Linked DNA regions of Danio rerio. The protein of the gene in region 2 interacts with the protein of the main gene of each other region in a biochemical or structural test. Links are inferred from orthologs where the notes say so. Each region holds a gene or a part of one and is shown on either strand. Other genes may lie near its edges.

What was found. The genes of interacting proteins can lie anywhere in the genome.
Region 1: the proteins of kpnb1 (region 2) and kpna3 form a complex in vitro, tested with the Homo sapiens proteins (2 studies listed by BioGRID and IntAct, with this or other methods). The link is inferred for Danio rerio from reciprocal best matches to the Homo sapiens genes KPNB1 and KPNA3.

The regions. Positions count from the first base shown.
Region 1 is NC_133176.1:49,979,231-49,982,886, forward strand, and holds part of kpna3 (importin subunit alpha-4), read right to left. Parts: coding exon 3,650-3,656; intron 3,039-3,649; coding exon 2,994-3,038; intron 1,807-2,993; coding exon 1,675-1,806; intron 1,589-1,674; coding exon 1,460-1,588; intron 1,288-1,459; coding exon 1,183-1,287; intron 1-1,182. UniProt on the Homo sapiens protein: Functions in nuclear protein import as an adapter protein for nuclear receptor KPNB1. Binds specifically and directly to substrates containing either a simple or bipartite NLS motif.
Region 2 is NC_133194.1:51,609,714-51,613,469, forward strand, and holds the end of kpnb1 (importin subunit beta-1), read left to right. Parts: coding exon 1-112; intron 113-381; coding exon 382-487; intron 488-566; coding exon 567-681; intron 682-787; coding exon 788-949; intron 950-2,254; coding exon 2,255-2,255; 3' UTR 2,256-3,267; downstream 3,268-3,756. Other genes in the region: csf3b (colony stimulating factor 3 (granulocyte) b precursor), read right to left, coding at 3,551-3,727.

The sequences.
Region 1 (3,656 bases), on a different chromosome or scaffold from region 2:
CTGTGTTTTCTTTGAGCAGGTAAAATTAAGGGTACAGTTCACATATCTGACTGCTTGTATTAAAGGACAAAATTGTTAAATATATAAATATATTTATGAATTATTATGAGATTTAAATATAATAATTATTGTGCTGTGAAATAAAATCTAAAATTGTGCATGTAAAGCATTGTAAGTGCACTGTGAATGTAATGAAATCTATATGAAGAATGTACTGCAATCTAAAAGTAATGTAATGTGTTTTTATTTAATGCCATGTCAGCACCCACGGCTATTTTCATGGCAGGAACATTTCAATAATAAATATACAATTAAAAATAAACAAACAAATGAATACATAAATTAAATAAGATTTTTAGTACTAATACATGATAATAATTCTAAAATCTTTTCTGGTGTCACTGCTAAAAATGTCCTAAAGAGAGTTTATTTCATAAAAAATTCTTCTGGAATCATTAAAAACAGGACAGTCCAGTAAAATGAGGAGTTGTGCAGCACAAAGACTGAGTAGGGTTTTCACCTTGGGGCAAAAAAACATAGTTTATTCTCGTATGCCCAATACGACATCTGGTAATAACCACTTGATTAAATCTAGTCTAAAAATGTCTTAAAATTCTATGAGAGAGTTCAGGTTGGATTTCATGTAATTTATAATATTCTAATGCATCAATCTAAAAGTAAAAGTTTTATATACACTTTATCAAATTGAATGTAAAATACTGTAGCTATTTTCTGAATTTGTCATGACAACTGACAACTTTATTGTGAAAAATGGTTTTAATAAACAGAAGCATAGTGTAGCCTACTTATAGTACGCTACACTATAGTGTAGCGTGATTATGCCTAGTCTTTCTTTGGTGCTGTTAAAACCACCACATCAAACCTGCAGCTCTTATGAAATGATAGTACATTACATTTTAAATCACAAATCGCAATGTTGATCAGATAAATTGCAACTGGATTTTTATCTCCAAATGATGCAGCCCTAAGTCAAGCTAGAATTAGTATGAAGGATGTATTACACATCCATTTAATTCAGTTTTCAGAACTGAACATCAAAAAAGGTTTCTAAATCTGCTTTATATATATATATATATATATATATATATATATATATATATATATATATATATATATATAAACTAACTCAATGTACAGTAGCCCAAGTGCTAGTCATCTTACCTTGGCAAGCTGGTGAATGATCATGGGTATGAGACCAGCATCTATTACAGCCTGCACCTGCTGCTGGTTTCCTGCTGTTATATTAGACAGGAACCACACCGCCTCCTGCAGACGCATCACAGATGTACAATAAACACAAGGCACTGCGTTTAAACTGGGACTGCAGAGATTTCTAGAGTCACTTATGAAATTAGCCAAGTAAAGCAATTGTGATTCATCATCTTGAGTAAACCTCACACAAATAGGCTCAGATGTGATGTGTGTTTCTGTGTCTCACCTTGTTGATTTTCTCTTTGGGGTGTGTGAGCAGGGTGGAAAAGTGAGTAAGAACATCACAGTTGAGCACCACCTGAGTCTGCTCGTCTGTCCCGGTTACAATGTTCCCCACCGCTCTCAGCGCTGCAGTCTGAGCGGACAATACATGAACAACATTAGAAGCCAGCTTTTGGTTTTAGAGTGTACAGAGATTCATAAATGTGCATGTGTTTTTACCTGAACTTTGACCTCTTGGTGGCTGAGCAGTGGGACAAGGTACGGGACAACACCTGAGTCTATTACCATCTGAATCTGCTCGTTACCTCCATCTGTCAGATACGACAGAGCCCACACTGTGTCTACCAGAATCTGCAGAGAACAGCAGATTTGAGGACGTTAAATGAGAAACGCAGACTGTTTTCATTTGCATAAACTTCAGATTAAATGAAGTGATCATGCTGCACAATTATCAACAAACTTGTGAGATATTAGGAAAAGTTTAGCCTAAAGGAAAATGTATGTTTAGTTTACAACGTTTGCAACACTAAAATAAGACAATAGATCATTTTTCAAATACACATTTGGCACCTAAAACTACTCCAATAATGTCCGGGTCCAAAATTACACAATTTTTTTAATTTCATATTTATTTATTTTTATATATATATATATATATATATATATATATATATATATATATATATATATATATATATATATATATATATATATATATATATATAGTTGCTATGGCCACAATCAGCTGTTCTTCATACACGCAGTCAATTTTCAAAATAGTTCAACTTTTGCCACTGTGTAGATTAATACTGAAAGTGTGTCTGTACTGAATTGTTTCTACTTGGGGCTGTGGTTAAGAACAGAGTAATATGCTGATATTTAACTGCATGGCTTTAATGCATTCCTGCATTGGGCTCACACATATATTCTGTGCTCTGACTACTACTTGGACGCTTCTCTCCATCTCCTGCCGAATGCACGAGATCACAAAACAACCACAACAGACTAGACCAATCAGCGCAGATTAGCTTCATCCCAAGGAGGGGTTTGAGAGCAAATGAATCGCTGAACGAATCATATGGGAGTCATTGGGATAACTGGGTCAAAATAAATGCATATTTTAATAAAAGTATTTTTATATATAGATTGCATATCAGACTGCTGTTGGAGACCCCCAAAACCAAAACATGACCTTTTACAATGCTAAACAGGGGCTCTTTAATCCAAAATGAAATTTGTTTTGATATGTACGGCAAGCAGTCATTTAATAACCAAGCTAATCTAGTCAGCTAATCATTTTTGCAAAATAAAGCCCTTCTAAACTTTCTTTCTGCACAAAGTCAACCAGCATTCTTCAAAATATCTTATTTTGTGCTCAACAGAAGTGACCCAAATAGGTTTTGAACAAGTGAATGGCGAGCAAATAATGGTAGAATTTTCACTTTTGGGTGAGCTAGACACTTAAACCACATTTACTGCACTATCCAATTAAAAGTAGCACTTTTTTGTTTGGAAGAAGTAGTGCGACATGTACTTACATTTATATCTGTATGATATATGAGTACACAGAGGGCAGGAAGAATCTGAGTGAGAAAAACAGACATCTTTTAGTTGAAACTGAATAAGCAGACCGCATGTAAACATGAAATCAGCTGTAGCGCAACAGAATATTCATTAGACCTGCCATCAATGAAGCAGTTGCTATATCACACACACAGAGAGAGTGAAAACACAGTCTAATGATTTCATAGCAGCAGGAGGTACAATATGTTCCCTTCAGCTCAAAGCGACACCTCCAGATTACAGATAGCAGAAAAGAGAAATGAGCACAATATTAAATATTGGCACGCAGCATACACAGCATTATATCTGACTGAATAGATGCTAAAAACACACACAGACAGATTACTGCGGACGAAACTGAAAGGCAAAAGAAATGCATAATATCTGTTGAAATTTTGAAAACGGTGGCGTAATGAATTAATTACCAGTTTATAAAGTGCCTCATACACATCATTCAGTCAAAAAACAGCTAAAGGGATCAGTTTAGCCAATCAAATTACAGTATTTTTACTGTAGTATTGCAAGTTATTCAATTCGTTTACAAAATCTTCAACTGGATGACGTAAGGATCGTTTTTTACCAACACGAACGAGTCAGAAATGCACAAACAGGGGTCACACACTTTGCTCACCTCTTGT
Region 2 (3,756 bases):
GATTCTGTCTGTGTTTGGAGACATCGCTCTCGCCATTGGAGGAGAATTCAAGAAGTACCTGGACATTGTGCTGGACACTCTGCAGCAGGCCTCGCAGGCACAGGTGGACAAGGTGAGCAGATGAACACACACACACACACACGGCGCTCAGTGTTTGACGATTGTTGTTGAACTTCTGTCTATTATCATCTGTGGTGCTGTGATGTCCTTCAGTCGTGTAGAGCAGACGTTCAGCGCTGCTCTGGGCTATCACTGATCTTAAACAGTTCAATGAGAAGATCTCCAGACCTGACCGCTGACAGCACACACACTGTCTGTCTGTTACACGAGCTGAGCTGTGTGTGTGTGTGTGTGTGTGTGTGTGTGTGTGTGTGTCTGCAGACGGACTATGATATGGTGGATTACCTGAACGAGCTGCGTGAGGGCTGTCTGGAGGCCTACACCGGCATCATCCAGGGCCTGAAGGGGGACCAGGAGAATGTGCACCGTAAGTGAACACACACACACACACACACACACTTCAGCATTGCATGGCGTGTGCGTAATGTGTGTGTTCTCCTGCGCAGCCGATGTGATGCTGGTTCAGCCGCGTGTGGAGTTCATCTTGTCCTTCATTCACCACATCGCAGAGGACGAGGACCGATCTGACGGAGTCGTGGCTAATGCTGTAGGGCTCATCGGGTGAGGCACATACACACACACACACACACACACACACACACACACACACTCGTACAGACAGACATTGTGCAGTAGTCTGACCCCTGTGTGTGTGTGTGTGTGTCAGGGACCTGTGCACCACCTTCGGGAAGGATGTGATGAAGCTGGTGGAGGTGCGTCCTCAGATCAATGACCTGCTGACTGAAGGCCGGAGATCCAAAACCAGCAAAACCAAGACTCTGGCCACGTGGGCCGCCAAGGAGCTGCGCAAGCTGAAGAGCCAAGCCTGGTGCGTGACCTCTGACCCCACAAACCTGCCTGTGTGTGTGTGTGTGTGTGTGTGTGTGTGTGTGTGTGTGTGTGTGTTAAAGCTGTTCACTCCAGTCTGAGGAGCACAGAGAGTGTGTGTTTCTCTGGCCCTCACTCTGCGAGTGTGTGACGTGTTGTTCTCCTGTGTGTGTGTGTGTGTGTGTGTGTGTGTTTCTCTGGCCCTCACTCTGCGAGTGTGTGACATGTTGTTCTCCTGTGTGTGTGTGTGTGTGTGTGTGTGTGTGTGTGTGTGTGTGTGTGTGTGTTCCTCTGCCCCCCACTCAGCATGTGTGTGACGTGTTGTTCTCCTCTGTGTGTGTGTGTGTGTGTGTGTGTGTGTGTTCCTCTGCCCCTCACTCAGCGTGTGTGTGACGTGTTGTTCTCCTCTGTGTGTGTGTGTGTGTGTGTGTGTGTTCCTCTGCCCCTCACTCAGCGTGTGTGTGACGTGTTGTTCTCCTGTGTGTGTGTGTGACGTGTTGTTCTCCTGTGTGTGTGTGTTCCTCTGGCCCTCAGTCAGCGTGTGTGTGTGACGTGTTGTTCTGTGTGTGTGTGTGTGTGTGTGTGTGTGTGTGTGTGTGTGTGTGTTCCTCTGCCCCCCACTCAGCATGTGTGTGACGTGTTGTTCTCCTCTGTGTGTGTGTGTGTGTGTGTGTGTGTGTGTGTGTGTGTGTGTTCCTCTGCCCCTCACTCAGCGTGTGTGTGACGTGTTGTTCTCCTGTGTGTGTGTGTGACGTGTTGTTCTCCTGTGTGTGTGTGTGTGTTCCTCTGGCCCTCAGTCAGCGTGTGTGTGACGTGTTGTTCTCCTGTGTGTGTGTGTGTGTTCCTCTCAGCGTGTGTGTGTGACGTGTTGTTCTCCTGTGTGTGTGTGTGTGTGTGTGTGTGTGTGTGTGTGTGTGTGTGACGTGTTGTTCTCCTGTGTGTGTGTGTGTGTGTGACGTGTTGTTCTCCTGTGTGTGTGTGTGTGTGTTCCTCAGCGTGTGTGTGACGTGTTGTTCTCCTGTGTGTGTGTGTGTGTGTGTGTGTGTGTGTGTGTGTGTGTGTGTGTGTGTGACGTGTTGTTCTCCTGTGTGTGTGTGTGTGTGTTCCTCTCAGCGTGTGTGTGACGTGTTGTTCTCCTGTGTGTGTGTGTGTGTGTGTGTGTGTGTGTGTGTGTGTGTGTGTGTGTGTGTGTGTGTGTGTGTGACGTGTTGTTCTCCTGTGTGTGTGTGTGTGTGTTCCTCTCAGCGTGTGTGTGACGTGTTGTTCTCCTGTGTGTGTGTGACGTGTTGTTCTCCTGTGTGCGCAGATCTCCGGCTGTGGAGTTTCTTCTTCTTCTTCTACCAGGACAAATGGAAATGAAAGCCCTGCGGTTCTTCTGTCTTTTAGAGCTGTGGACAGAAGTGCTTGTGCGCTGATGAGTGTGTGTGCGAGTGTGAGAGCGAGTGTAAGAGCGAGAGATTGACACACACCTTCAGTCCAGCTCCAGCAGAGGAACAGCGGCACACACCTCCACCTTCTCCACCTGCCCGCGTTCTCCATCCTGACCCGATCCTCCCCCCGGCCCGATCAGCTGCAGGACTGACCGTCACACACTGATTAGCAGACGGCGGCCGCGGGAACCTGCTGCTGGAGCCATGATGGCGTGACTGGAGTGTGTGTGTGTGAGTGAGCGAGGGCGGCGCTGTTTCCGCGTCGTCTCTCAATATTTCAACCAATAATAAATAAAGGTGATCAATATCTTGTTTGCGATTGAGTGAGCTGCTCTTGCGTTCCCTCGGCGAGCGGCAGTGGAGGCGTCCGGCCTCTCGTCACGGCTGCGCTACATTACTGGCCTCCTCCTCCTCCTCCTCCTCCTCTGTGTTTCTTTAATAATAGTGCTGATTGAGTAATGGTTCTCTTACCGGTGTGTGTTAGTATGGATGTGCGGATCGGAGCTTCACCTGCCCTGCCTAGGGAAGACTATTGCCACTACAGGCGCAGGCTCCGGCGGAGCGACGGGATATTAGACACCTCCACACGCGACTTTATTCTCCTTTATTTGTTTTGCAGGAAACTGAGTGCCAAACCCAGCGGTGCAGATGGACTTGAGCTTAATGTGTTACTCGTAGAAGATGCGAATTAATAATACACACGTCAGCGGCGGCGAGCCGAGCAGCATCCATGTGCTTTTGGTTGTAATTTTTTGTTTTGTTTTCCTCTTGCGGCACTTAATTGGAGTCATTCACCGAGCTTTTAAGAAGACGACGACGGACAGAATCAGACATTTGTATGAGGTTATATTTTTCCATTGATATGAAAATAAAGTTAAATTAAATCTTTCTGCTGTGTGTGTGTGTGTGTTGTGTCTTCAATAATGGCACATAAATGAGCAGCACACGTCCACAAGACCAGTTCAGGAAAATAATTTAATAATAAATACATTTAAATAGAACATTACAGCGCACCCACAGGGCACAACATGTGTTAAACACACAACATGTGTCGGTCAACATGTGTTAAACACAACATGTGTCGGCTACCAAAATAACAAATGTTCAAAACAATAAATATTAAATATATAAATATGTAGCGAAAGTCATGGTGTGTGTGTATGTGCGTGCAGTTAGCATTGAGACACACTGATGCAGCGCAGGCTGCGGAACACGTCCTGCATGAAGCTGCGCAGCTGCCGGAGTGTCGCGCGCACACGCACCTGCAGCTTGAACTGGCTGAGTGGAGCCGAGAGAGTGTGTGTGTGCGGCAACACCTGAGGACCAGCAGAGGGCACCTGGAGGAGGAGCTGCAGAACACAGAGCGCATTACACACCA